Linked DNA regions of Elephas maximus indicus. The protein of the gene in region 1 purifies or fractionates together with the protein of each later gene. This does not show direct contact. Links are inferred from orthologs where the notes say so. Each region holds a gene or a part of one and is shown in the gene's direction. Other genes may lie near its edges. The genes, in order: LIN28A, SF3B2, EBNA1BP2 and POP1.

Evidence for each region.
Region 2: the proteins of LIN28A (region 1) and SF3B2 purify together in Homo sapiens (affinity purification with mass spectrometry; 3 studies listed by BioGRID and IntAct, with this or other methods). This does not show direct contact. The link is inferred for Elephas maximus indicus from reciprocal best matches to the Homo sapiens genes LIN28A and SF3B2.
Region 3: the proteins of LIN28A (region 1) and EBNA1BP2 purify together in Homo sapiens (affinity purification with mass spectrometry; 3 studies listed by BioGRID and IntAct, with this or other methods). This does not show direct contact. The link is inferred for Elephas maximus indicus from reciprocal best matches to the Homo sapiens genes LIN28A and EBNA1BP2.
Region 4: the proteins of LIN28A (region 1) and POP1 purify together in Homo sapiens (affinity purification with mass spectrometry; 3 studies listed by BioGRID and IntAct, with this or other methods). This does not show direct contact. The link is inferred for Elephas maximus indicus from reciprocal best matches to the Homo sapiens genes LIN28A and POP1.

The regions. Positions count from the first base shown.
Region 1 is NC_064821.1:66,882,617-66,890,060, forward strand, and holds the start of LIN28A (protein lin-28 homolog A), read left to right. Parts: upstream 1-4,441; coding exon 4,442-4,472; intron 4,473-4,936; coding exon 4,937-5,121; intron 5,122-7,444. UniProt on the Homo sapiens protein: RNA-binding protein that inhibits processing of pre-let-7 miRNAs and regulates translation of mRNAs that control developmental timing, pluripotency and metabolism.
Region 2 is NC_064825.1:129,193,187-129,200,714, forward strand, and holds the start of SF3B2 (splicing factor 3B subunit 2), read left to right. Parts: upstream 1-4,524; 5' UTR 4,525-4,572; coding exon 4,573-4,705; intron 4,706-4,886; coding exon 4,887-4,933; intron 4,934-5,245; coding exon 5,246-5,323; intron 5,324-6,321; coding exon 6,322-6,570; intron 6,571-7,528. UniProt on the Homo sapiens protein: Component of the 17S U2 SnRNP complex of the spliceosome, a large ribonucleoprotein complex that removes introns from transcribed pre-mRNAs.
Region 3 is NC_064821.1:85,317,950-85,325,243, reverse strand, and holds the start of EBNA1BP2 (probable rRNA-processing protein EBP2), read left to right. Parts: upstream 1-4,291; 5' UTR 4,292-4,568; coding exon 4,569-4,637; intron 4,638-4,721; coding exon 4,722-4,805; intron 4,806-5,047; coding exon 5,048-5,217; intron 5,218-5,640; coding exon 5,641-5,764; intron 5,765-7,081; coding exon 7,082-7,171; intron 7,172-7,294. Other genes in the region: CFAP57 (cilia- and flagella-associated protein 57), read right to left, coding at 3,863-4,019. UniProt on the Homo sapiens protein: Required for the processing of the 27S pre-rRNA.
Region 4 is NC_064833.1:43,864,985-43,872,600, reverse strand, and holds the start of POP1 (ribonucleases P/MRP protein subunit POP1), read left to right. Parts: upstream 1-4,613; 5' UTR 4,614-4,781; intron 4,782-7,616. Other genes in the region: RIDA (2-iminobutanoate/2-iminopropanoate deaminase), read right to left, coding at 4,439-4,503. UniProt on the Homo sapiens protein: Component of ribonuclease P, a ribonucleoprotein complex that generates mature tRNA molecules by cleaving their 5'-ends. Also a component of the MRP ribonuclease complex, which cleaves pre-rRNA sequences.

The DNA.
Region 1 (7,444 bases):
ACAAATAACTTTCACGACTTCAGTTAAAGCCAATTCAAGAAACTTCTTGGGTGTCTTCTATGAACCAAGCACCATGCTAGGTACTGAGAATGATGTAGGGAAGATACAGAACTGAATAACATATGAATGATTCAGTCCTCAAGGAGCATGTGATTGAGTGGGTGCTAAGGCATAGAGACAAGCAAGTGCATAATAGCTAGCTATAATAACAGTAAAAACTTACAAGATTAAGAGCTAACTATGTGTCCTAGGCTAGGTTCTTTAGAAAAGCAAAACCAGAGAAGTGTGTATATATATATATATATATATATGTATGTATTTTATATATATATATATATACACATATACACAGACACATATATATATACACACACACACACGCACAAAAACAAGTCACTGCCATCGAGTTGATTCTGGCTCATAGTGACTCTATAGGACAGAGTAGAACTGCCCCATAGAGTTTCCAAGGAGTGCCTGGCAGATTTGGATTGCCTACCTGTTAGTTAGCAGCCATAGCATTTAACTACTACGCTGCCAGGGTTTCCATATATATATATATACACATAAACCCATTGCCATCGAGTTAATTCTGACTCATAGCAACCCTGTAGGACAGAGTAGAACTGTCTCATGGGGTTTCCAAGGATCAGCTGGTGGATTCAAACTGCTGACCTCTTGGTTAGCAGCTGAGCTCTTAACTGTTGATTGCACCACCAGGGTTTCATTTATGTATATATAAAGAGATTTATCTCAAGGAAATTGTTCAACCTGTTGTGAAGACTGGCAATTCCCAAATCCGGGTCAGGCATGAGGCTGGAGGCATCTCCTGACTCACTTGCTGCCGGGCTGAAGAACCCAAAATAAGCAGGTCAGATAGCAGACTGCTGGTTCACAGGGCTATGGAAGCCGGCAAATCCCAAAGATGGCAGGTCAGATGGCAAGTTGCTGGCTCAAGTTCTGAGAGCTGGAGGTCAGGTGATGATTAGCTGGATGCAGGATACAGAGCAAGAGAGAGCTTTGCCAGAGCATCCATATATATTGCATACTGGTCGTATCCCCAAGGAAACTTCCTCTCATCAGCTACTTGAGTAAGGGCATGAGTTGAGTAAGGGTGTGACTTCAGTAAGGGTGCGACTTGAGTCACACTCTCTTGTAGTAGTGTGACTCATGATACACCCTACACTAATCCTGCCTCATTAACATATAGATATTAGAATTTACATCACATAAAATGGAGGATAATTACATAATATCACATAATGGAGGATAATTACATCAGATCACAAAATGGGGGATAATTACAATCATGGCCAAGTTAACACATACCATTAACTATCACACTATGTACGAGGCACTATTCTAAAAGCTTTACATATATGATCTAACTTTATTCTCACAATATCTCTGAGAGCCAGGTATTTTCATTCCTCAGAGAAGGAAACTGAGGCACTAAGAGGTTGAGGAACTTGCTGCAGGTTGTTGTGTGAGTTGATTCTGACTTACAGAGAACCTATATGACAGGGTAGAACTGCCCCGTAGGTTTCCTAGGCTGTAATCTTTAAGGGAGCAGATTGCCAAGTTTTCTCTCCCACAGAGTGACAGGTGTTTTTAAATGGTTAGCACCTGAATGCCTAACCATTGTACCACCAGGGCTCTTTTGCCCCAGGTTACCCATAACTCATTGCCGCTGAGTTGATTCTGACTCGTAGCGACCCTTTAGGACAGAGTAGAACTGCCCTATAGGGTTTCCAAAGTTCTAAACTTTACGGAAGTAGACTGCCACATCTTTCTCCTGTGAGGGGCTGGTGGGATCAAACCACTGACCCTTTGGTTAGCTGCCGAGCGTTTTAACCACTGCACCACCAGGGCTCCTTAAACTGTAAATAGTGGAGCTGATATTCAAACATAGGCAATCTGACTCACATCTGTGTGCTTATGAAAAGTGCTAATAATTAAGGAAATAATTTTAAAGCACAGATTAATCTCTATTCTACTCTGGTTTTCTCTGACTCAGAAAATATTATCTCCTCTTTCCTCACTCTCCATGACCACATGAGTAGTTCTACCCGTTTCTCTGAAGGGATGCTTGAAATACCCGAACTGCTCTCACAGAATATCTATTGCTGGAAGCGCCCTTAACAGTGTCTAAAAAAACCTCTTCATTAATTTCAAGTGTGTCGTTGTCTCTTGGGGTTTGAGGAGAGTCAGGGTTTTCTGGGAAGGACTTGGAGGTGGAAACTCAAGAAGGCATTTTAAAAGCTGGAGGGAGCTAGGAGCCCTGAGCCTGGAGCGCGATGTCTTGGTTCAGCACCATGGACAGAACACCCGGCACCCTCAGCACCCTGGACAGAGAAGCTGATAGAGCCTGCCGGGGGAAAACAGCCCTAGAGAATGAATCAAGCTATGCCAGAGTGCTGAACTCTCCCTTCTTCAGCCAGATCTCTGTCGTCTGTTTCTGAATTTTTGGAAGTGAATATATTTAAGGGCGCTTCTAACGAAGGGGACAAGATTCTTAGATAGGGAGGATTATGTAAATAAAAATGACTGGCTGAAGTACTCAGAGAACTCTCGGTAGATCTAAATTAGGGTCCTCAGAAGTGGGACATTGATAATAAAAAATAATAATATTTGCTAATTATATGTATTTCTTTAAGCAGAACCGCAATGGGCCAGTCTTTTTTTTTTTTTTTTTTTAATCTCCCAAAGTTCCATCCCCCATCTCTTACATTCAAGGTTTAGTCTTTGGAGAGCACTCCTTGTGCAAAAGAGAGGGAAATAATCTCTACATCCCCTGCTTTTCCTCCCCATTTTCTTCTTTCCCACCCCTACTCATCCTCTCTCTCAAATCCATGCGTGCGTGCTCGCAGGCGCGCGCACACACACTGACGGGAGCAAATTGAGAAGCATGAGAGATTCCTCACAGTTGGAGAAGAAGAGTGATTTCAGAGCAAGCGGATGCCCCGAAAGCAGGCTCTGTCCCTTTAAACTGGTTGTAGCAGTGGGGGAGGGGAACTGGCCGGAGCTGGCATTGTCCAGTTTGAACTGAGCACCGGAAGTGAAGGGGCAGGGCCAGGGCCGTGCACTGAGCCCCGGGCCATTGTCCATCTCCGACCAGGGCAGTAACCACCCCCCTGACTGACCCTCTTTTTTTCCTGGAAGGGCAGGTTGCCCCTTCAAATTAGGAGACTCCCGACTTCAGTTCCCCATCAACCCCTCTATGGGGAAGGGAGCGCACTTTAGGACGGTGACTCAGGGACCTAAGAGTCTGGGAACCTAAGAGTGTCGGGAGTACAGGAGGAAGACCTTCCACCCACCTCCCCACCCAGTCCCTCTCTAAGCAATGAGTGGGGTGGGGGTGGGGACAGAATGAGAAGGCAGATGGAGGAGAGGGGAGCACATTTTAAAGCCTCTTCGGGGTCCTGCTACTCTCCCAGGGAGCTCTACCTGGGGCTAACTTTAGACAGATTCGAATGAAGGATTCTTTACATAGAATCAATGGGAGCACTTTCTCTCTTCTAATCGAGAGAGATCCAGAAAAAATCTCAGTTGGAAACTCAGAGGCAGAGACCTTCAATATAGTCAGAGGCTACAGACAAGAGTTTTCAGAGGTAGCGCCTCAGTCAGGACTGAAGATAGGCTCTGCCCAGTCTCTAGCCTCTCACTGCTCTCCTACCCAGGTTTCCTAGTGTCCCGAACTCCAGGTCTATCTAAGCACACGGGGGTGGGGGGTGAGAGCAGGTCAGCGCCAAGCAGCCGGGTCAGCTCAAAGGCCTGAGGGGGAACGGAGGGGGAGGAGCGCTCAGGGGCTGGGGGAGGGGGAGGGCTCATCCATTTCTCCCTTGACAGGTGGTTTGTGTCTCTGATTGGCCAGCACCGCCAGGCTCACACCTCCCTCCCCCAACTCTCTGGAATGTATAATTATCTGCGCGGGGGGTGGGGGTGGTGTGTGAGTGTGTGTGGGAGCAGTCACGTGGTCTTAAAACTACCCCCCCAACCCCCCACCTGTATGCTGCTTTGGGGACCCCCATTGTGCCCTTAAAGTGCAGGACCCCAAATTCCGGGGTACCAAGACTTCTACGGCAGAAGGTCCCCATCTCCAGTCGAGCGTGTGAGGAGGGGGGTGTCAAACCTCAAGGTTCTGAGAAGGGACACCCCAGAGGTGTCAGAGATCGGAGCTGTGGGGGGAGGGCCGGAGCTGGAGCCGGAGGGAAAGGGAGGGGAAAAGAGAGAGAGAGAGGGGAGGGGAGGGGGCTGCCCGCGGGGGGTTGGGTCATTGTCTTTTAGAATTTGGGAGCCTTTGAAAAACCGTGGGCCCTCCCACCGCTATTGTGCCGGGGAAGATGTAGCTGCCTCTTCTTCGAGCCACCCCTTTGCCTCCGGACTTCTCTGGGGCCAGCAGCCGCCCGACCAGGGGCCCGGCCCGCGGGCTCAGCCGACGAACATGGGCTCCGTGTCCAACCAACAGTTTGCAGGTTCGAGCTCGGAACTTAGGGGCGACACCTTAGGTTGCGGGGCGCCCAGGAGCCACGTAAAAGGAAAGTGGGGAAGTATCTTCCCAGGCTGCCCGTAGGACCCCAAGTCGGTGCGGCCTCCTGCTTCAGGGGACCGTTTCTGGAGCAAGGAACCCTGGTGTCCCACCGGCGTGTGCTCCGAGGCTACGGGGCAGGGGGGGAATAGGAAGGGCCTGTCCGGCTCTCTGTCCGCGGGCAACGTGTAGTGGGAAGAGGAGCAAAACTTTCGGGGCACCACTGGTCTCGGTGTAGGCTTTGGGAGCGCGGGAGGCGGCCGGGACAGGTCTCTTCTCGCGGGCTGCCTGGTGGGTGCAGGCTCCTAGTGTCCACCCGCGAGACGCTCGGATCTCCCTGTCCCGTCTCTGCGAGGGCCCTCTGAATGCGTGGCCCCCCAACTAAGCCCCCGGTTCCCTCTCCATCTCCAGGTGGCTGCGCCAAGGCGGCGGAAGAGGCGCCGGAGGATGCGGCCCGGGCGGTAGAGGAACCGCAGCTGCTGCATGGTGCCGGCATCTGTAAGTGGTTCAACGTGCGCATGGGGTTCGGCTTCCTGTCCATGACCGCCCGCGCCGGGGTCGCGCTCGACCCCCCGGTGGACGTCTTTGTGCACCAGGTGAGACTCATTCCGTAACTTTGTCGGGAGCGGGAGGGGGTATAGGTGCTCATATTCCGGGGTGGGCGAAGGACTTGGCTGTTGGATTAAGATTGAAGCCCCTCATTGTGTGTACCCATCTTTGCCGTGGCACCCCGATTCTGGGTCCCCGTTTACTCCGATGGGGAAGGATTGGGGGGCAGCGCCGGTTATCAGCACCTCCCCACCCCCTTCCGGGAACCCCTCAGGCTCACCACGTGTCTGTTACCTCTTTCCCCTGGGAAGAGGGCAGAGGGCAGGGAGGTGACCCCATGTGGCAGAAACTAAGGTTGTATTGTGCTTGCCGGTGGGGGGAGGGCGAGCGGCCGACCAGGAAAGCACATGCCGGGGCCGGGCAGGCGCTGAGCGCCCAGCGCCTTTCACTAACCTCTGAAAAGAGCTGGGAGGGCGGGAGAGAGGGAGGGAAACTGGCTCCCAGGCCCAGCCGGCGTGTTTAATACAGACCTCAGCCAGGTGGTGGCTCAAACTCAGGCCCTGAGGCCTGGTGGGTTTGGCGGATCCTTGAAGGATCCATCTGGGGCCTTGAAAGCTCCTCTGCAGGAACGTCTAAGGCGCACAGTTCAGAGAAGGGGGCCTTTGCTGTCCAGTGAATATCCGGAAGAAAAACCTAAGGCATCTAGGCCTTAGATTCCTGGGCCAGGCTGGGAGGAAGTTAGGTGGCAATCCCAAGTTCTCAGTTAAAGCAAGGAAGCATAGTGGGGGTGAAATTCAGTGTCACAGGGCAGGGGGTGGAGTAAGGCTGGCCTCTGAACCTATTCTCCTCGGCCTGGCATTTATGGCCCCAGACAGACATTGATTACTGTCCTAACATTCCCGGCCTCAAACAAGGAGTCTGAGACTTCAGGTCGCTCTCCTCCCGGGCCTGTTCTTCCTCTCACCCCTTCCCTGAATATGCTAGAAGTGTTTCCGTGGTCCCGGGATACCAGCCACTCATACCAACCATGTAAAGCAAGTTGGCTGCATGGGCCTCTTCCACCTTAGGAGGTTTGGGGCTGGACCTGGGAAGAAGAGATTTCTAGTCCCTGGCTCTGGAGGTTGACACCCAGGCCGGGCAGGGAGGGGTTACTGCAGGGAGGTTGGCCCCAGGAGCTGTGGGGGAGGGGAAAGGAGGATGTAGGGATTAAGAGTTGGAGCCTGAGGGTTGGTAGTCTGGAGGGGGAGGGGCAGGGAAGGGAGATGCTGGGTGGACTGGTTGGAGGTGGTGGAGAAGTCTTCTAGCAGGGCCCTCACCTTGAAGGAGGTTGAGGGTGAGATGAAGGGGGAGAGTCCTAGGAGATGGCGACCTGCCCGTTAAAGTTGAATCCCTGGGTCATTGGGCAACTCGAACACCTGCCTGAAGCCTTAACTACATCTTTGCAGCAACACCCCCCACCCCATCAGACAACCATTTTCAAGCTGGTGGATTTGTCCCCCTCCTGTCTCATTTACATATGTGAATGATAACCCACAGGAAGTAATTGTGGGAGAAAGAAGGGACTTGGCCTCTTTAGATCTATTAAATCACTTTATTGCAGGAACCAGCTTTGAATGGCCCTCCTCAGCAGGGTGCCAAGCCTCCCCCACTCTCCCCTTTATCTGATCACAAAGAGATTAAAATCTCTTCTGGTCTGGAGACGACTGGACAGCTTCCCCAGTTTGGGGAGGCTGGAATAAGAGTCAGACCCAATGTTTTCTTATCTCCCCTCAAAAGACTACTAACTATTTAGGGAGGGGCTGAGGGCAACATATCCCTTCATCTTCTGGGGTTCTGTAGTGATATCCAAATTCCAAGGAAGGTTGGGATCCACACTTTAGCCCACTTAACCTTTGGGATCAAATGCAATTGGAAAAGTATTGGATGGCATCACTCGTGAAGGTAAGGAGGGATGGCTGTGAGACTTGCGGAGTGGAGCCCCTTCCGTGCTGTTTCAGATGGGTTAGCAGGAAGATACTCTGGTCTTTAGGTCCTGAGATGTCCAGGTGCCCACGCCTGTCTCTGGAAAAGGAGTTGAATAATTTATCAGGAGGGAGCAGAACTGGGAAGAAAAAAATCAAGAACTTCTCTTCTTAACCCACCTCCCCTTCAGTCAAAGAGGACAATAACTGATAGAAATTCACTGAGCCTTACCTGATAGCTCTGTCTTTATCAATGCATGCTGCTGGCTGGGTCTTGGGTAATTCCTAAAACCCCACCTAGTAGTATGCTACACTAGTGGTTCCAATCCCTGCACTTGAGAAGTTTGAATATCTCTGGGAATTTAATGTAGAAGACAAAGACGGAAGAATTTTTGTTTGTGTTTGTGGG
Region 2 (7,528 bases), on another chromosome or scaffold:
CGGATGCTTTAAGCTACAGACCCCTGTGTCTGCTCCATGAAGGGACAGAGAGGTTCCCCCAATAATCCCAGACAAGTTGGAATGCCCAGCCTCATCAGAATATCTGTGCTAATTTTAGTAAGAACAATCTACCTTGGGCTGCTGCCCGCTTTGGCAAATTGCTTTCCTTTCTCCAGGGAACTAAGGAAGAAATGGCACAGAGCCAGAGCTTGGAAAAGTGGCCCGGCTGCCCACCCATCCCAAGCGTGCCTTTTCTCCCCTCTCCCCTTCCAGCTCCAGGGCTGCTGTTGATGCACTTAGGGGAGGAGGGGGCTGGCTGGGACCATCCAAACCTGACTGCTGGGTGACCTGGGGACCCCATCCTGACTTGAGGGATGGCACAGACGGGTGAGTGGGGAAACTGACCTGGGCACTAGGGAGGAAGGGGCTAAAGGACGTAGAGGGTTGCAAATTAATGACCCCGGGAGATCAGATATCCTTCCATCTCCCTCTCCTCCTTTTCTTCTCCTAGCCTGCGCCAGGTCCCCAGCCCCCTCTCCCTGTCATCCACCTCCACATCCCTGTCTCCCAATTTCCTACATCCTTCTCTCTCCATCACTACCCACCCCCACCATTCCCTCGATTTCCTCCCAACCTCTCCCAGGGCTCCGGTCACCAGGCGCAGGTCACCCTGAGGCACAGGCCAGCGTCGCCCTCTGCCCCGTCCTCTCCCGTTCCCCACAGGGCAGCGCGCCCCTCCTCCAGCGCCCAGGCTCTAGGCCCCCAGACACTCCGCCCACCGTCGTCCCCTAGCCCCGGGCAACCACTGCAGTACTCACGCCGCGCGGGCTCTGCCTCCAGCCGGGCTGCTGCGGCGTGGTCACCGCTACCCACCCGCCTCTGGTCCTGAGCTCTGCGCGAGTCCTAGGTGGCCGGGGCCCTGCGCGCCAAATGCCGACCGCTCGCCGCGCGGCGCCTCGATGGGATCAGGTGGCGGCGGCCGCTCGGCTCCACTCGGCTCTGCTTTGCCCGCCGCCCGCCCCCCATCGCACACCGGAGGCGGGGCGGGGGCCGGGAGCAGGAGAGGGGGAGGGGCTCGAAGGGGAGGGGGCGGCCTGGCGGAGCTGGCGGCGCTACCGGCGTTGCAGGGGAACTCTCTCCCCGGAGCGTCTTGGGGTGTGGGCATCTTCACCCGGCAGCCTCGCAGGGGCTGGACACCAACGCGGCCAGCCCTCTTCCCTAGCTGAACTGAAGGGAAAACTGAGGCCAGGAAGGTGTCTGAATACTCCAGTGTAGCCGGGCCCCCCTCGTGGAGTTAGACGCACAGAGAGATGCGTTTACGGGCACCCACGTGCTCCCTCTCCCTCTCCTTCTCCTTTCCACCTGCGCAAGAAGCGCAGCTCCAACCCCTGGTCTGGATCCATCTGCCCTCACACCCAGAGACTCCTTCCTTCCAACCTGCGGTCCACACTCCCCGGGTCCTGCCCCCGTCCCTCACCCACTCCTACTCCCCACCAGGACTCCTTACCAAAGCTTTAGTGGGACCTGGACCCCCGACTGGGTACTGTGCATCAGGAATCAGAGGACCGAATTCCATCCTGGTTTGTCACTGAATCTCCGAGTTAAGAGGCAATGCCCTGAGCCCATGGCTTCCAGCTCCAGCTCTAAAATGGGAACAACGGCCCTGTTTCCTGGAGCTTTTCTGGGGCTGTAGAGATAATACAGGCGAAGGCTCTGTGTACACCCCAGTGTGTGTAGGGGGGTAGTCCTGAATTTTCCACTGCCTCCTTAGTCCTTGGAGTCCCTGGGCAGTGCAAATGGTTAGCACTCAGCTCTTAATCAGAAGGTTGGAGGTTTGAGTCCTCCCGGAGGTGCCTGGGAAGAAAGTCGTGTTCTTCTACTTAAGAAAAATCAGTCATCGAGAACTCAATGGAGCACAGTTCTACTCTGACATACATGAGGTCACCATGACTGGGAATTGACTCAATGGCAACTGGATTCTTAGTTCTTAGCTCCTGCCACCTGGGAGTTGGGCAGCAGTACCTCCCCCAAACCAGGCCAGTTGTCAAGAGCCCTTCATTCTGTTCTGGGAGGGACCCCTGCTTTCTCCTTTCCTGTGGGCTGGCGTGGCAGGGGTGCTGGGGCAGCCAATCAAAGCTGGGACTAATTGGGCTGGATACCCCCATTCCAAGCCAACTCAGGTAATTGGTGGGTGTTGAGGAGCAGAAGGGAATGGGGACTTTCAGCATCAGGAGAGCTGCTTGTGGTCGCAGTTCAGCCCTTTGGGCCTGTCAGCTTCTCTCTGCCCATCAAGCTTCCCTTTTGCACAATGGAGCCAGGGGGAGGGAGCGGGTAGTCCTACCCCGCCTGCCTCCCAGGGCTGTTGTGCTGAAATGAGGCCCTGCTTGGTGTGTCCCTTTCTGGCCCTGGCTACATTGCCTCCTCACCAGTCAGTCTTTACCCTAGACTGCTCAGACAGTGACCCCTCCCCCAGCAGGTTGGGGCACCTGAGGGCCTCCAGCCTCAGATGACCTGCTGGGGCTCTCAGGTTTCAGAAGCAGAAAGAGTCTTCCTTTGGGTCCAAAGTGGTTCTGCCTGAGTGGGCTGACGAGCTGGAGGGGAGGGCACCACTGTTCTTTCTTCTATGCTGTCTTTCTGGGAGTGGCAGCTGGCAACTGGGATGGTGGTCATGATGGAAGGGGTTTGGGCAGGAGTGAAAGGAACTTCCTGGCTCAGTCCTATTCCCTATTTTTCCTAGACCTCACCTCCCCTAGACCTGGGGCCGCATTCTTTCTCTGTTCCCAGCTACTTTGCTGTTGGGGGCAGTTGGTGAAATGGAGCCAGACAGAGAGAAGATCTGAAGGCAGTGTGTGTGTGGTGGGGACAGGGGTGGGTTATCCAACAGGCAGATTACCAGATCATTTGAAGTTTCAAAGATGTGAAACCCATGTGAAATTGTTCACTACAGATTAGTAAGCACAAGTAAGCCTGTGCTTACCTTGTTTACTAGGTCATCTGGTTGTCAAGGATTGTAACTTTGAAAAGAGGCTTTGATTTTGTAGGAAGGTGCTGTGGGATTGGGAGAGCGACAGATGCCAGCCATACCTAGAAGCAGAGTCTTTGATGTGATGAAAAAATGTGTGCTTACCTTGCCTATTGGATAATCCGCCCCTAGGTGGGGGTAGTAAATAAGACCATTTTACCTGAGTGCCCCCCAACTAAACACACACACACACACACACACACACACGCACGCAGTGAGCCTGGCAGTCAGGATGGGAGAGGGACCTCAGAACTAGTGGCAGATGTGGGAAGGAGAGATTGATGGGAGGAGGGAGACGCGCGGTAGCCAGACAGGTAAAAGCACCTGTCCATGCCCCTGGCAGGCCCTGGGGGTTGGGTGGGGTGGGGGGGGGGTGGAGGAGAACGGGGTCGCCTGCCACTGGGCTGGAGGGGCTCAGAGAAGCAGAGGTCCTGAGTTTGGACTACAACCAAAACCAAAGCCGCTGCCCTCGAGTTGATTCCAACTCATAGCGACTCTATAGGACAGAGTAGAACTGCCCCATAGAGCTTCCAAGGAGCGCCTGGTGGATTTGAACTACCAACCTTTTTTGGTTAGCAGCTGTAGCACTTAACCACTAAGCCACCAGGGTTTCCAGTTTAGACTAAGGAAGATGTAAATCTTGCCACCATTAAGATTGCTTCATTTACTCTTTTGCACTCATCTTTATTGAGTGCTTCTTGGATCCCAGATGCCGCATGCCAGACAGCAAAATGACCAGGTACCTGCTCACGTTCTTGGGGATGGAGGTGAGTGTGGAGAGAAGGGCAAAAAACAAACAGTAGAGGTTTGAACGTGTTATGAGAGCTCCAAGAATAGGAAAGCGGGAGAAGGCTTAACGGAGGAGACACTTGAGCCGGCCCGGAAGGTGGAAATGGGGCTTTAGTGTTGCCCTTCCCCCAGGTCGGGAGTTGGAGCTCAGCCCGGGCGGGCCCGCTCCTCTCCCGGCTCCGATCCCCTTACAGCCCATTCATCCATGTCTGGGCCGGGGGCGGGCGGGCAGACAATCAGACACTGTTTTATCACAGGCATCGGCTCCAGCCTCCCGCTTGGCGCCCGCAACGTTCGGCCACCGGGGGAAAGGGCCTCTCGGGCGTCCCTGGAAACACGAGCGTCCCGGCTCTCACGCCTATTCAGGGAGTCGGGCCGGAAGGCTGATAGTCCGCGCTCGGGCAGGCGAGACGCAGAAAGCGTCCTTCCAACTAGACAGCTTTGGCCGCAGCAACGTCCGCCCGTAGGGTTTCCCGGAGCTGTAATGGGCACTGTATTCCTGGCGCTGGACCCGCAGTGACCGTCAGCTGCGTACTACAACTCCCAGAAGGCTTCGCGACCAGGCCATCTGCGGACCACTGGATAAAGGGCGCGTCTGTTGGCGAATCACGTTTCCCGGCCGTTGGTCCGGGGTGGCCCTCTAGCCGAACAGCCCTCCAATCCGCGGGCGGGCTGCTGGACGTCGTCCCCGGAAGTTCCGGGAAGTGGGCCCGGAGCTGGCCCTGGCATCCGGGTTGGTCGCGCGCCTTCCTGCGGCTAAGATGGCGACCGAGCATCCCGAGCCTCCCAAAGGGGAGCTACAGCTGCCGCCGCCGCCACCCCCAGGGCACTATGGTGCCTGGGCTGCCCAGGAGCTTCAGGCTAAGTTGGCAGAGATTGGAGCGCCGATCCAGGGTGAGGAGCGCGGAAGGTCAAGAGGGGACTACATGGGCCTGCAGAGAAGCGGAGCCTTGTTACCTCGGAGACTCGGGGGCAGGGGGCGGAGGCGGGCTAATAGGGCCCGCCCTGGCCGGGTCGGCCGGACCTAGCCCACTCCGACCCAGCATTGATCACTGACTCTGTGTTTGCCACGCAGGGAGTCGCGAGGAGCTGGTGGAGCGGCTGCAGACCTACACCCGCCAGGTAAGTGCCAGCGGAGGGACGTCAGGATAGACCAGGCTTCTCAAGGCAGCCTTCAAGACATCACGGCTCGGTCTTCATTCTTAGTGCTCCCGGCACAGCAAGGTCTTGCACTTTTTTGCATGCTCTTGCTTGTTCTTGACTTTACCTGTTCTGTTGTCATAGCTTTATGCATAGTGGCCCTCCCCAGTGCCCGAGCTCCAAGCTCCTGCAGACGGGCACTGGGTAAGCTTTGTTGAATGAATGAGAGGGAACGTCGTTTATTGGATCAGTGCTTCTTGACCTGGTCTAGAGTTGTTCGTTCTTTTTTTGCAGACTGGCATGGTGCTGAATCGGCCGGTTCTCAGAAGAGATGATGGGGACAAAGCTGCTCCCCCTCCCATGTCAGCACAGGTGAGGAAGTTGTTCTACTTTATAAGGTCTCTTCTACCCAGGATAGGCACATCTTCTCATGTGCAGTGCACTGGGAATGCAGTTAGCAGGGTGGGCAGGGAGGTACTCCGTGGACAGAAGTGGGAGCCCTTCAGTTCTCTCTTGGTCCTGATACCTGCCTCCTTCTCCAACATTTGCTCCTCCAAATTCTATTTGACATTCAAGACTCACCTCTCAATTTCCATGTGCCTTCTGATCCAGCAGTGGCCAACCTGGGCTCCATTGACCTCAATGGATGGGGTGATGAGTCCCTAGATGGCTTTCAGACGTGTTCCTGAAGCTCCTGAAATTGTATGCAAAATTCGTTTTTTTGGAGAGAGAGTTGATAGTTTTTCTCTGTCGATGCTCCAAAGTTAACATTTTCTTTTCTTGGTTAATATCTGGGCCGTCCTCTTCCTGTATTCAAGAATCACGTGTTAAAGTTGCTGTCGTTAGATGCCTTCAAGTCAGTTTTTGACTCTTACTGACCCCATGTGACAGAGTAGAACTGTCCTGTAGGGTTTTCAGCCTGTAATCCTTACGGGAACAGATTGCCAGGTCTTTCTCTTGCAGAGCCACTGGGGCGTTTGAATCACCAACCTTTGCATTAGCAGCCACGTGCTTAACTGTTGCACCACCAGGGCTCATTGTGTGTTAACCCAAAACCAAACCAAACTCACTGCTGTCAAGTGGGCTCCAACTTATAGCGACCCTATAGAACAGAATAAAACTGCCCTGTTGGGTTTCCTGAGCTATAATCTTTACAGATGTAGACTGCCATATTTTTTTCCTATGGAATAGTTGGTGGGTTAGCAGCCGAGCACTTTAAGCATTGTGCCACCAGGGTTCCTTCCTTGTGTGTTAAGGAGGGAAAAAAGAAAGAATAATATGTTATTTGACTTTGAATCCCAGCACCCAGCAAATATCTGTAGGATAAATAGATAAGTGCTTCCTAGTTTACACTCATACTTTCTTCGCAGCTCTCCGGGATTCCCATGCCACCGCCACCCATGGGACTCCCCCCTCTACAACCTCCTCCACCACCCCCACCACCTCCACCAGGCCTTGGCCTTGGCTTTCCTATGGCAGGCGGACCCCACCCACCAAACTTGGGGCCCCCTCCTCCCCTCCGTGTGGGTGAGCCTGTGGCGCTGTCTGAGGAGGAACGGCTGAAGCTGGCACAGCAGCAGGCAGCATTGCTGATGCAGCAGGAGGAACGTGCCAAGCAGGTAGGGCAGGGGAGAGCCTGCGGCTAGGCCGAATCAGGCCCCTGAAAGGGGAGTGGAGCTCTAGAGGGAGCTGGATCGTAGGGCTGAGGCTTCTGGGAAGGTCTGGATCAATGCTTAGAACCTAGGCTGTAGGCCGGATGAGGACCACAGGAAGCAGAGTTGTGTTAGACAGAGGAATGGGGTTAGGCTGTAGGCCGGATGAGGACCACAGGAAGCAGAGTGGTGTCAGACAGGTGTGTGGGGTTAGGCTGTAGGCCGGATGAGGACCACAGGAAGCAGAGTGGTGTCAGACAGGTGTGTGGGGTTAGGCTGTAGGCCGGATAAGGACCACAGGAAGCAGAGTGGTGTCAGACAGGTGTGTGGGGTAAGGCTGTAGGCCGGATGAGGACCACAGGAGGCAGAGTGGTGTCAGACAGGTGTGTGGGGTTAGGCTGTAGGCTGGATAAGGACCACAGGAAGCAGAGTGGTGTCAGACAGGTGTGTGGGGTTAGGCTGTAGGCCGATTGAGGACCACAGGAGGCAGAGTGGTGTCAGACAGGTGTGTGGGGTTAGGCTGTAGGCTGGATAAGGACCACAGGAAGCAGAGTGGTGTCAGACAGGTGTGTGGGGTTAGGCTGTAGGCCGATTGAGGACCACAGGAGGCAGAGTGGTGTCAGACAGGTGTGTGGGGTTAGGCTGTAGGCCGGATGAGGACCACAGGAAGCAGAGTTGTGTTAGACAGGTGTGTGGGGTTAGGCTGTAGGCCGATTGAGGACCACAGGAAGCAGAGTGGTGTCAGACAGGTGTGCGGGGTTAGGCTGTAGGCCGGATGAGGACCACAGGAAGCAGAGTTGTGTCAGACAGGTGTGTGGGGTTAGGCTGTAGGCCGGATGAGGACCACAGGAAGCAGAGTTGTGTTAGACAGGTGTGTGGGGTTAGGCTGTAGGCCGATTGAGGACCACAGGAAGCAGAGTGGTGT
Region 3 (7,294 bases), about 18 Mb from region 1:
TGACATCTCCATTTGAATATCTAGTAGGCATCTCAATCTTGACATGTCCAAAACTAAGCTCCTGATTTTCTCCACAGAACTTGGTTCTCCAGCAGCCTTTTCTATCTCAATTAAGAGTAACTCCATTCTTCCATTTGTTCAGGCCAAACACCTTAGTTCTTCTTTTTCTCTTCCACCCCACATGCAGGAAATTTCTATGAAGAAATGTCCCCTCTACTTCAAAACTAAATAATTCAGGATGTGACCTCTTCTCACCATCCCAATTGCCTGGCACCACCTCACTCTAAGCTATCATCTTCTCTCGCCTGGATTATTGTAACATTTTCAGAACTGGTCTGCCTGTTCCTTCTCTTTTCCCTCCTTAAGTCTACTCTCTGTCTGGCAGCCAGAATGAACCTGTTAGAACATAAGTCGGATGATACTACTTTGCTCAGAATCTTCCCATGGCTTCTCATCTCACAGTTAGGAGCATATGACCTACAAACCCTATGTGATACATTGCTTCCCATTATTTCCCTGCCTCACCTCTTGCTCCCCACAACGCTGTACACTCCACTCCAGCCACACTGGCCTCTTTGCTATTCTCCCAACACACTAAGCACCCTCCTAACTCAGAGCTTTTGTTATTCTCTTTGCTACACAACCTGCCCTCACCCATATCAGCATGGCAAGCTCTTTTACTTTCTTCAGTCTTAGTTTAAACATATCTTACTGTATTTTTATGCAAATAACTCACATGGATTATGTTTTTCTGCCTACTGCCCCTCCCCCATTTTCGTAGGTGCGCTATGCTAATTTTTTAACATGTTGCTGTAAAAAATTAGCGTAGCATGCTTACAAAAATACCTGGGGGGAGGTGCTGTTGGCAAAAAAAAAAGGAATAACATGAGCCTCATATGTGTAAAAATATGGTACCCAATAAGCCCTCCCCAGCTAACCTATCTAAAATTTCACTCTTTCCCCAATAGTTCCTCATTTCATGCTTCATTTTTTCTCATTAGCATCTATCACTATCTAATACATTATATATTGTTACATACTTTATCTTTTTTTCTTGTTTTCCTCCACTAGAATGAACACACCACGAGGGCAGGGTTTTGTGTGTGTGTCTATTCTGTGCCTCGCACACCAGGACCGGTTGCTATAGTTGACTCTGACTCATGGCAACCCCATGCGTGTCAGAGTAGAACTGTGCTCCATAGGGTTTTCAATGCCTGATTTTCAGAAGTAGATCTTTAGGTCTTTCTTCCAAGGTGCCTCAGGATGGACTTAAACCTTCAACCTTTTGGTTAGCAGCAGAGCACATTAACTGTTTGTGCCACCCAGAGTAGGTGCTTAATAAACTTCCATGGAGTAAACAAATGAATTAGATTCTCATAAAGACTGTAAGTTGAGCAAGCTGAGCATCATCTCCATTTTACAGAAGAGAAAACTCAGACTCTGTGAGGTAATAAATTAAGAGCCATATTCAAATCCAGATCTCCTGATTTAATGACCTTTATACTTTCTACCCTGCTAGCAATACCCTTATACTTGGCCTGCAGGGCTCCTTCCTTGGACCCCATATTTTAGAGTGCCCCATTGTGGTCATCCTCTAGCTGTAACATTTCCATGAGATGGAATGTCCAGGCCACTCAAGTTTGCATCACCTCTTCTAGATCATGCTCCAGGTACCTGGGACTCTGGAATTCCCCCCGCCACATGGTCCTGAGGTCTGATGACAAGACCTGCATTCTGTCTTTGGCCTTTGACCTGGGCCTGAGGAATGGCCAAAGGTGGTTTTTTATAGAAGGTATGGGTAGAGCCTGAACATGCAGGCTTCCTGTTTGAGCCCCATAGTGGTATGGAATGGGGTCAGGAGCAGAATAAAAGGGATGCAGACCAGAAAAGTATGAGTATATGGATATGAAATAAAACAGGTAATTAAAATTTAAAAACTTAATAGGTACATTAAACAGTAACAGCTGAGAAAAGAATCAATGAACTAAAAGGTAAGCCTAAAGAAACTATCTAGAATGCAATATACGGAGACTAAACCCCAAAACCAAACCCAGTGCCGTCGAGTTGATTCCAACTCATAGCGACCCTACAGGACAGAGTAGAACTGCCCCACAGAGTTTTCAAGGAGCGCCTGGTGGATTCGAACTGGCGACCCTTTGGCTCGCAGCCATAGCACTTAACCATTACACCACCAGGGTTTCCATACGGAGACTAGGAAATGAAAAATAAAAATGTGAGTTAACAGACATGGAGGATGGCATTGAGATGGTCTAGAGCTCCAGAACGAGTTAGTAGAAAGAATGAAAAAGATACTATATTCAAAGTGACAACTGATAAAAATTTTCTAGAATCATTCAAAGATACCTATTCTCAGATTCAAGAATCCCAAAGGATCACTGGCAGGATAAAAAAAGAAAAGACACATACATAATAAAGATAGAGACAGAGAAGATCTTAAAAGTACTCAGAAAAAAACAAAACCAAAAGATCAACAAAAAGAAGACTGTGATGGTTCATTTCTTAAGACACCAACAAAGCAGAGACCAAATAACAATGGAACAAGATTCATAACGTGCTGACAAAAATTCTATCCTCAGCAAAGCTATCTTTCAAGAAAGCGGATGAAATATAATCATTTTCAGACGAAAACTGAGAGTTTATCACCAATGGATTATCACTAAATGAAATGATAAAGGCTGTACTTCAGGCAGGAGGAAATGATCCCATCTGGAGCGGATTGTGATTTTTAAAACTGAGTGGTGGGCAAAGAGATTGGTAAGTATTTGGGCAAACATAAACAAATGTTACCTGTATAAAACAATGATTGGTTTAATATTAAAAATTCATATGATTATATATAAAATACAAAAAATGTATGCAAGAAAATTCAGTATCTGGTAATGTACTATTTCCTACCTTGGGTGATGAACACTTACATCTTCATTTTATTATACTTCTTAAAATATTATGTATACACAGTGAACACTCTTTCGTTGGCATATTTCACAATAATTTGTTTTTAATGCGACAAAGAGGGGAGAAAGAGATAGGTGATTAAGTTGTGGAAATCATGAATATCATCAATAGGACCTGGACCAGTGTGAACAAAAACAAATGTTGTAAAGTTATACAAATGGTTTCTGGTGACTTTGGATAAAATTTCCAGTGTCTTTCATAATGCATGGATTCAAAAGAAGCTGTATCTCAAACAATTTAGAGAAATGAAGGTGGTGTACCCTGGGAAACAGTGTTGTTGTGTGCCATCCAGTTGATTCCAACTCATAGTGACCCTATAGGACAGAGCAGAACTGCCCTATAGGGGTTCCTAGGCTGAAATTTTTACAGAAGCAGACTGCCAGATCTTCTCTCCCGCAGTAGACAACTCAAAACGTGGCTCTGATGATGACAAAGATTTGAAGATGCATAAAAAGAGGTTCTTTAAAATAACTTTTTCATGAAACTAAAGTAAAAAAAGTACTTTAACATTATTTTATACATGATCTTAACTACATATGTGTGATTAGAGCCCTAGTGGCCCAATGACTAAGCACCTAGGTCGGTGGTTTGAACTCATCAGCCACTCCCCAGGAGAAAGATGTGGCCATCAGTCTGCTTTAGTAAAGATTACAGTCTTGGAAACCTTAAGGGGCAGTTCTTTGTCCTATAGGGTCGCTATGAGCCGGAATCGACTAGACATACAGGTTATGTGTGATTAACCTATACAATAGACATTTCTTCTATATTCCTGAAAAAAAAACTCCAATTAGCCAAAAAACGTTCTTTTCAAATCTTTGCGTTGCGCTTATGGAGTTATATTCAGCACATAAAGTTAATTTATGTGTCAGAATGTAAAAGGGTTTACCTGGAATGAATTTTTGCCATTTCTGATCCAAATTGTACTTCACACAGTGATTTCCTGAGGGGAATATAATAGTCTGTTCATCAAAGTAGACGATATTGTTGGCTACGTTGGCTCGAAGACCAAAAACATGAAGCGCCTGAGCTACCACGGCGGACATGGTCAGCGACAAGCTGCTGCTGAAGACCGAAAGCCGCTTGAGAGCCCCATCCCGTCCCGCCCACGGCCCCGCCCCCAGGACCCACCCACCCACCCACGGCCCCGCCCCCGTCCCTGGGGTCCTCCTTCGCTTTCCCCCCAACGCCGCGTGACTCCTCCCCTTTCCATTGCTCTCTCGAGGCTTCCAGCTCCTCCGGACGACCTCAGACTCCCTTCCCACCTTTCGCTTCTATTTTCTGGGTCCCCAGACCACGCATGTACTACCTCTACAGATCCGAAGCAACTCGGACACTTCCAAAAGCCGGAGTAGTTTCTATAGCAACGACAAACCGGAAGTGTCGGCTTGCGGCCGGAAGCGGAAGTCCTCATCAAAAAGTTTAGCTGGAGCCGCGAGTGGCTGGTGCTGTTGCGTTTGAAGTCCACGTGGAGCCACCGAGTGAAAGTGGGGACTGAAAGGAGGCAGCAGGGGCGATAGCCACTTTTTTCCAGCCAAGCGGGCCTCAGGGTACACCACTTCTTCCGGTAGGTGTTTGGGCGTGCGTGCTGCGAGATGGACACTCCCCCGGTGTCGGGTTCGGATTCGGATTCTGATGACGACTCCCTTATCACAGACAGAGAGGTAGGTGTCAGCCAAGCTCGCGGGGCTGGGCACGAGATAGCGGCTCTTACTTCACTGGTCCCGACTGCCAATTGTGTTCCACAGTTGCAGGATGCGTTTTCCCGAGGGCTCCTGAAACCAGGCCTCAATGTCGTGCTAGAGGGGCCGAAGAAGGCCGCTAACGACGTGGTGAGCTGGGTCGCTGGATCGAGGGGTACCCCGAGATGGAATGTGCACGAGGCACGGCTGTAGGTGGGAGACTGAGTTCTTGCTCCACGGAAAGAACGTGCACTGCACATTGCCACGGGGGTAAATGACATGCAGGTAGTGAGGGGTTAGCGTTTTGTCCGTCGGCCTAGCCTTTGGGCTTGGGCTTTTGAGAGACAATCTCAGGGTACCCTTCTTTTGAGCCCAGCGTCTGGATTTCCTAGACTGGCCTGAAGCAGTGTTTGGCCGAATTCAAACGGGATCTGGAATGGGTTGAAAGGCTCGATGTGACCCTGGGTCCGGTGCCAGAAGTTAGTGGACCTCAGTCAAGTCTTCAGAAGAAGGATCAGAAAGCTGTTGACCCAGAAGATGACTTCCAGCGGGAGATGAGCTTGTATGTTTGTTTTCCAATGTGGGAAAAGTTGGGGGGGGCGGGGTGTCCCCGTGTCAGAGATTGGGGGAGAAGTAGTGAGCTAAAATTTCTTTGTGCATTCAGCTTTTGTAACAAAAAATTGCTTATGAAAGGTTCTTATGTAGATGTTAGTGACTATATAAAAATTTATAATCGACATTGGTTTCGAGTGACCATTCTCTTGAATTGCTAATTTATTTTTTAGCAACACGCTGCCTTTTAAAAAAATGGTGTGCAGCTAAATTTCTCCAAGATCCCAAATTTATGAGGTTTTATTAGTTTCTATTTGTCCTTGCTGGCGAGGTCAGATATTGAGAGTCCTGTGATCTTGGATTATGAGAGGTGGTGAGAAGAAGTATAAGGCGTCTCCCTCAGCTCATTTCACACTTTGTCTTACATTCTCAGCTACCGCCAGGCCCAGGCTGCAGTGCTTGCAGTGTTACCCCGCCTGCATCAGCTTAAAGTCCCTACCAAGCGGCCCACCGATTATTTTGCAGAAATGGCCAAGTCAGATCAGCAGATGCAGAAGGTAAAAAAAAAAAAAAGGAAAATTTTCTCTGGAAAGCCAAGGGCTTCGTACTTCGTGTATTTAGCTGCCTTTATATCCTATTATAGGAGCTCTGGTGGTGCAGTGGCTGTAAACTGGAAGGTTGGCAGTTTGAACCCACCAGCTGCTCCATGGGAGAAAGATGTGGCAGTCTGCTTCCGTAAAGATTTACAGCCTTGGAAACCCTGTAGGGCAGTTCTCCTCTGTCCTGTAGGCTCACTATGAGTCGGAATCGACTTGACGGGTTTATAATGTTTAAAGATGATAGCTATAAGCCCAATAATGGGGAATTGGTTTTTAGGGGACAATTACTATCTCTTCTGGAGATTGTCTGCTTTAGACTCATGCCATCACCACCAATTAGCGGAATGTAGGGATGATTTTTTCCCTAATTTAAGCAATTAAGGGGGGAGTACACTAAGAAATGTGATTTCCTGAGGTAAAGCCAGCCTTTTGTATTCCATAGTCAGCATGGTCATGGCATGGTGTGTAGAAAGGATAACTGTTCTTGGCCTTCTGTTGCCAGTGAGCAGTGCTATAACTTGAAGACAGGTTACTTCTCTCTGGGCCTCAGTTAACTCTTCTGTAAAATGAGGGTTAATCTCTAAAAGTCTGGTTATCTCAGACATAATATAATTTAAAGTTAAGTAGAATTTGTTACTAATTTAACTTTGGGAGGAAGAAAATTGCCGACCTTTAATTGGAGATCTGTTTAACTAGCCCCCTTGGGTCTCAAGCTGGTTTTTAGGGAGCACTTGTCTTGGTGGTACCCAGGAAAGCTAATCTAGAGATGAACCGAGACACATTTCTGTACATGCACACTGACAACTAACTTCTCATCATTTAACTGAAACGTGTGTGTTTGTGGGAAGAAGCCATGTACCTGACATCTGTTTGCGTTTTCACTGTGTGTGGTATATGGGAGAAGGAAACTGTGAGACTGCACACTGGTTTAACTTCAGTCTGTGGACAGTGGGCATGAGGAGAAGTAGGTCTTTCCAGGACCTCAAGGTGGCAGTTTTGTGTAATAGAACTAATAACAGTCTGGGAGTAGGAAGGTTGCTTTCAAGTTCTGGCTCTACCACAGAAATTTTTAGTACCTGGGACAAAGTGCTTTTGTGACACTTTGGGCCTTGTCATCCTCATATATAAAATATGAGGTTAGAATAGATGACTTACAAAGTTTCTTTGACCTCTACTGTTTCTGGAGCTGGGAATATTTGTTCCTTGCTCTGGTTTCCCTAAGTAGCAGCTATCTCAGATTCACACAAGATAAGCTGACAGCATTCTACGTTTTAGATTCGACTGAAGCTGCAGACTAAACAGGCTGCCATGGAGAAGTCTGAAAAGGCTAAGCAACTGAGAGCACTTAGGAAATACGGAAAGAAGGTAAGGAGGAAAGTATGCAGGGAACAGGAGGAGGTGGGTGTGTTTGTCAGATCAGATTGCCATGGTCTGATTTGGTTCCATGCCCTATGTGTTTTAGATCATGTATTTATCATCTCACAGTGA
Region 4 (7,616 bases), on another chromosome or scaffold:
CCCATTTGCTCAGTTCCCAGCCCCCAGACAACCACTGGTCTCATTCACAGATGCTTCCAGTTTCTTCACGCACATGGGAATCAAGATGAGTGTATATTCTTCCCTTTTACACAAAATATGGAATATTAAACACTCTTCTACATTTCACTTTTTTCACTTAACAGTATATCAGGGAGCTCTTTCCATGCTGCATGTAGTATGGGGCCTCATTTTTAGGGGATGCATTGTAGGGATGTACTTTAATGTATCTGTCCCTGTTGTTTCCAATAATTTGCTATTATAAACAAAACTACAATGGAACACATTATACACACACACATCTCATTTTCCCTAAGTAACTAAGCCTTTCTTTCCTGAGTCCCAGAAGGCCTCTGGTTGAACCTTTTTTATGAAAATGATAACTATGTACAGCATCTGGCCTTATGTTATAGCTAGTCCTGTTCTTATTCTAGGGAGCCCTGGTGGTCCAGTGGTTCTTATTCTAGGAGCCCTGGTGGCCCAGCAGCTAACCAAAACGTCGGCGATTTGAACCCACCAGCTGCTTCATGGGATAAAGATGTGGCAGTCTGCTCCCGTAAAGGTGACAGTCTTGGAAACCTATGCAGCAGTTCTACTCTGTCCTATAGGGTCACTATGAGTCAAAATCAACTTGCTGGCAATGGGTTTTGGGTTCTTACCCTATTTTAGACTAAGCTCCTTGAGGGCAGCACAGTATCTTACTATGTCTTTGCATCTGTGTAGGGCCTAGGTGATTCCTTGCACATAGGGGGCACACAGTAACTACCTGTTGATGTTTTATTTTGGATTGTCAATAACAAGACCTTTTAGTGTATGGGGCCCTGGTGGTGCAGGGGCTAAGTGTTTGACTGTTAACCAAAACGTGGCAGTTTGAATCCACCAGCCGCTCCTTGGAAACCCTATGGGGCAGTTCTATCCTGTCCTATCGGGTCACAATGAGTTGCAATGGACTGGATGGCAAGGGGTTTGGTTTGTTTTTTTTTTAGCTTATAGTGTGGGCTCTGGAGAGCTGAAGCAGATACATTTAAACTCTTCTCAACTACTTCACCCTCCCACCCTGGCCCACAAATAGGTAACTGCTGAACTTGGTTTCTAAGTTTTTCTCAGGCTGAATGGTAACATCAGCTAACACTGTTTCTTTGAAGTGTCCTGTGGAGAACCAGTAGTCTGTTTATGACCTTTGCAAAGCACCTTCAAGTCTTCCCATGTTTGCAACACAGTTCAAGTCCATAAGCATTATAATTTGAAACTTTATTAAAATAAAAAGGGACTCATTTATTCTCAGAATATTAAAAGTAAGTACTAGAACTCTGAGGCTACCTGAGCTATGCGAAGTCTTATCTTACAGATTAGTAAATAGATGTGCTGGACAAAGTACGCAGAATTTGATATGCCAGTGTTCACTGCAGCCTTATTCACAATGGCCAAAGGCAGACACAACCCAAGTGTCCATCAACACATGAATGGGTAAACAAAACAGGCGACTCGAAAACATCACGCTAAGTGAAATAAGCCAGACACAAAAGGGCAAATATTGTATGACTGCATTATGTGAAGTATGTGGAATACTCAAATGCATAGAGACAGAAGATTATTAATGGTTACCAGGGCTTAGGGGAATAGGAGTTACTGTTTAAGGAGTACTGAGCTTCTGTTTGGGATGATGAAAACTTTTGGAAACGGTGATGTTGCACAACATGAATATAATTAATATTATTGAATTATACACTCAAAAATGGTTAAACTGGCAATTTTTTTGCTATATAATTAAAAAAAAAAAAAGAGTAATTGGACAGTTGGCAAATTGGTATTTCCTGAGCATAAGAGTCCTACTATCCATAGACAAGTTGTGAGGCTCCAGAAAAGTGAAAAGTGCATTGTTCTACACAAGACAAAGGGTGGTAACACCACTTTCGAATCATCCTAGTAATTATCACATGTCATAATCTACATCACAGGGCCTATCACTTCAAAAATTTATAATCAGGTGCTACGTTAGCAATGCAATAGTGAAGTGATGTTGAAATCTCTCAAGGTTCTGACCTGCAGTCTTGCTGAAATGTGCTCAGTTCATTAGTTAATTAGTGACAGCACCTCATGCATCCCAATGCCCAGGACTCAAAGTTCAACACATTTGAATTTTTTCCTGGACAGGACCCAGGATTATTTAAAAAATGCACTCACTACAAACTCCATGCACATAGCAGCTAAACAGGTCTCTTGTTTCCAAATGGTTCTTAAAAATGTTCATTCAATTTTATCATGATATAACTAGTTGGTTGGGGAGTGGTTTACTCTTCAACATAAAATACTGAAAATTAGCAGCATTTCAACTGGATAATAGTGATTGAATACAGTTTTTACTAAGCACTTACTATGTGTCAGGTACCGTAGTTGATAAGGGAAATCCAAAGGATAGGCAAGGCTGTGTCAGAAAGTAAATACTTGGCATAAATCTTATCTTGTTAAATATATGCATTATAGCCATGCCAGACTCATTCATTTATGCACGTATACATTCATTCAACAAATATATATTGAGCAGCAACTTCATGCAAGGCACTCTGCTGGGCGGTGTGGATACCAGAGAAAAAGTCAAGACCCATGTCCTCTATCGCTTCCAAAGAATACAGTAAAAGAAAAACCTCTTTATTTCCTCTCATTCAACAGCACTTCTGACAAGTGGAAATAAATGCACACAAGCTAGACTTTCTGGCCAGTATACATATATTTAGCTATACACAAATACATATATTTAGTACACATAATGATCTTTGTTGTGGGAAATGAGCACAAGCAATGAATTCATAAGCATCATAATGCAATTCTAGACACGCTGTAAAAAGTGAGTTCTAAGACATACGTGAGGAGCCCTGGTGGTGCAATGGTTAAGCGCTGGGCTGCTGACCTAAAGGTTGGCAGTTGGAACCCACAGCGGGCTCAGGAGGAGAAAGGACCTGGCGATCTTATCCTGTAAAAATTACAGCCTAGGAAACCCTACGGGACAGTTCTACTCTGTCCTATGGGGTCACTACGAGTCAGAATCGACTGGTGGGCACACAACAAGATGACTTACGTAGATATACAGGGATTTCTATTTGCTAAACACTGTTGTGAAAATAACTCAGCTCTCTCCAGAAAAGACACCCACATTTGTTATGGATGGGACTCACTCCTTAAAATCAAAAGACACTTCTATCTTTATGGAAGCAGACTGCCACATCTTTCTCCTGTGGAGTAGCTGGTGGGTTCCAACTGCAGAATCTTTGCAGCCAAGTGTTTTAATCACTGTGCCACCAGGGCTCAGATCAAATGCTGTATGTTATGTGAAAGAAGTCATTCACAAAAGGCTACATATTGTATGATTCCATTGTTACGGAATGAATTGTGTCCCCTCAAAATGTGTCAACTTGGTTAGGCCATGATTCCCAGTATTGTGTGGTTGTCCTCCATTTTGTGATCTGATGTGACCTTCCTATGTGTTATAAATTCTAACCTCAATAACGTTAGTGAGACAAGACACTAAGTACCAGATTAGGCTGTATTTTCAGTCAAACTCTTCTCAGATATAAAAGAGGGATGGAGCAGGCAGGGGTGAGACCTCACACCACAAAGAAGGACCAGGAGGGGAGCATGTCCTTTGGGCCCTGGGTCCCTGCACTGAGAAGCTCCTAGACCAGGGGAAGGCTGACAAGGACCTTCCTCCAGAGCTGACAGAGAAAGAAAGTCTTCCCCTGGAGCTGGCACCCTGAATTCAGACTTCTAGCCTCCTAGACTGTGAGAGAATAAATTTGTTAAACCCATCTGCTTGTGGTATTTCTGTTATAACAGCACTAGATAACTAAGACATCCATTTATAAGAGATGTTCAGAGTAGGCAAATCCATAGAGACAAAGTGGGTAAGTGGTTGCCAGAGGCTGGGGAAGGAGGGAGGAGGAGTGACTGCTAATGAATATGGAGTTCCTTTTTTGGGGTAATGAGAATGTTCTGGAATTGGATAGTGCTGACGGTTGCACAATTTTGTGAACACAGTAAAAATCACTGAATTGTAGACTTGAAACAGGTGAATTTTATACCATGATAATTATATTTCGATAAAGCGGTTAAAAATAAATCAATAAAAAGAAACAAATTAGGGTTAGACTACTTCCAGAGGGGGAGTCTGGCACCAAGCAGGCTGAGCTCCGGCGCGAGACAGCCCGAGGCTAGGACGAAGTCCCTGGAAGCACAGGCTCCGAGTCCCGCCGCTGCTCCCAGCTGGCTGTGCCCGCTTCCCGAGCTGTTTCCTCGCGTGTTAGATGGCGTTTGCCCCGATGAATCCCAAGGCCCGCTCGGGTTCTGACCCGGAGTGACCCCAGCCCGTAGTCCCCCCGCAGCTCGCACTCCCCGGATCCGCCCGCGCCCCCACATGTCACGTTACCTGTAGGGACCAATGGCCGCTGGGGCTTTCGCCGTGCTGATCACCTTTCGAATCAAGGACGACATGGCTAGCCCTTTTGTCCAGCAGTCCCTGCAAAAAGGACACCCCACGCACTTCTCACCAAACTAACCAGCTCGGGTTAAAGGCTCGGTCCCAAGGCTTCGCTCGGCATTCTGGGAGTTGTAGTCCCGGCTTGCCTCCAGGCCACGTGTAGGAAGCGGCCGGACAGACGCATGCGCCCTCCAGCCCCCTTGCAGTGCTAGTTGCTACGGAGGGCTCTGTCGCTGAGCCTTGACGTTCTGACCCGGGGAGCCCAGGGTTCCTCTCTCAGAGCATCTGGCAGGTAGGTCCTGAGGGCTTGGTGCCTGCAGGTCCCCGGGATTGGGGGAAGCATGCTCTACCGCCCGGGCCCAGCTACCCATCCTCTCTCCCTCCAATCGCACTGGCCGCCTTTCCCTCCTTGTTGCCCGCACCCGGGCCTCTCTTCTCCGCCCCGCCCCTCCATCGGGCCTTACCCTAGGGACCCAGCGTTTACCATTTTTCCACACCGCCCCTAGGAATGAGCTTACACCTCCTCTTTTGTCGCCGTAAAGGAATAAAGTGGGCCTCCAGGGGACTACCCTGAGATCTGGGCGTTGGTCTCCTTCCCGCCCCTCCCGGGTCCCCTTTTCCTCTCCTGAGTGCTCCTCAAGCTTTACAAGGTCTCTGCACGTTTCCCTTAGACCTGACCAGAGCCCTAGGACTTGGGATCTCATTTCAAAAAGGAAGATAATGATCCTGATCCAACCGATGGTCCCAGAGCTGGTCACTGGGCAGACATTCAGTCGTGCTGGTTTCACAAAGGGTGGTACTTGGCATACATACGTCTTATCTTGTTAATACTGTATGCGTTATAGGTATGCCACACTCATTCATTTATGCTTGCGTGCATTCATTTGACAAATATATATTGAGCGCCTACTTGGTGCAAGGCAGTCTGTTAGGTGCTGGGGATACCATAGAGAAAAAGATCCTGGTCCTCTCCTGCTTCCTCAACATAAAAAAAAAAAAAAAAATTTTTTTTTTTTTTTTAAACATAGCGTAAGAAAAACCTCTTCATTTCCTGTCATTTTGTCCTACCTACTGCTAAAATTTTCGCTTTCTTGCTTCCTCAGACTGTTTTCATTGGCTCGGGACTTTGGTGTGGAATAAAAAAAATACCCTTCCAGTTTCGGCTCCTTGCCTATACAGCCTTCTGTCTCCCCATTTTAGTCAGGCCAGTGTCCTCCTGAATTGACACAGTAGATTCCTGGATACTTTTCCCTATCTATCCAAATTCCAACTAACTGAAATCCTATTTTCTCTTTGATTTTTCCTGCTGACTCATGCTTTTTCTTTCCTTTATCCAGTTTTGCATTGTGCTATATGTGTATGGAGCCCTGGTGGTGCAGTGGTTAAGAACTTGGCTGCTAAGCAAAAGGGCGGCATTTCAAATCCACCAGCTGCTCCTTAGAAACCGTATGGGGCAGTTCTACTCTGTCCTACAGGGTCGCTTTGAATGGCAACAGAATTTTATATTGGAAACTCTGGTGGCATAGTGGTTAAATGCTACCGCTGCTAACCAAGAGGTCGGCAGTTCAAATCCACCAGGCGCTCCTTGGAAACTCTATGGGGCAGTTCTACTCTGTCCTGTAGGGTCGCTATGAGTCGGAATCGACTTGATGGCAGTGGGTTTTTATACTGCAAAATTTAGTATACTGTTATACATCGTCTTATTCTTTTGCTGTTTTTGTGTATAGAGAATAGTGAATGAGTATGAAAACAAATGCAAACTATGACTGTTAAGGTAAGGTGTAAAATTTGAATGTTTACGGTAAGAGTTAAGATCCTTCTGGAAACAGTTTTAGGCTAAATCCTCAGACTTTGCATTCATTCTCTCCTGCCGTTAGAACTGTTTGAGGACTACTGCTAGTTCAATCCACTAATTTTTTAGTTTGGAACCTAAAGCTCAGAGATGTGACTTTCCAAGCTTATCCCAAGCCCCTGGTCCCAGCCTGTCCCCAACCCATTCTAGTCTGAGCAGAGTCAGGGCTCCCAGGGTGGTGTTCTGTCTTGGCGATACTCTGCTGGGTAAGCTCTGATTCAAGCAGGTAACAGTTGATGAACTAAATTGTTTCATAAAATTACTTCGAATTTTTCTTTTTTTAATTTTGTTATTGGTGTTGAGAATATACACAGCAAAAAGAAACCAATTTAACCATTTCTACATGTACAATTCGGTGACATGGATTATATTCTTCAAGTTGTGCAACCATTCTCACCCTCATTTTCTGAGTTGTTCCTCCTCCATTAAGAAACTCACTGTCCCCTAAGGTTCCTATCTAACCTTATTTTGAATGGTTCTTAATGAACACTGATAGGAATCTTGTGCTTCACTAGCCAAGTGACTTTGCAGAACTCCAACTGCTTTATAGACCTGTTGCCTTCGAGTGGTTTCCGACTCATAGCAACCCTATAGGGCACAGTAGAACTGCCCTATAGAGTTTCCAAGGCTGTAATCTTTATGAAGCAAACTGCCACATCTTTCTCCCTTGGAATGGCTGTTGAGTTCTAACAGCTGACCTTTTGCTTAGCAGCCAAGTGCTTAACCACAGTGCCACCAGGGCTTCAACTGCTTTATAAATCTTGCTTAATTTGAACAATGTTTTTAAATGTAGGTTTATTTGTCTTTCATTTAGATGAAAGTCAAATGGAGTAAAAAAGTGAAATGATAATGAATCTGTTATTTCATTTATTATTTAAGAATAATAGCTCATATATTGAGCACTTTGTGCAAAGCCCCATGCTAAGTGTGTTATGTACATTGCCTTGTTTAATTATCACAGCAACTTTGTGATTAATCCCATTTATAGAGGAGACTGAGGCTGAAAAAGGGAAAGCAATTTTCCTAAGGATTACACAACTAAAAAGTTAAGGAACGTGTTTGTAACTCTACAGCCAAAGCTCTTAAACACGACACCCACACAGGCTGGCTGCTTTTAATTTTTCATGAGGTTTTTATAAGTGAATAAAATGGGTGATAGTTAATTCAGTGGCTCTCAGTGGAAGTGGCATAGACCCTGATGTGGCATTTTGGAAGTTTGTGTGGATGTTCTTAGTTGGAGTAATGATTGGATAGCAATACCTCAGGGTATTGCAA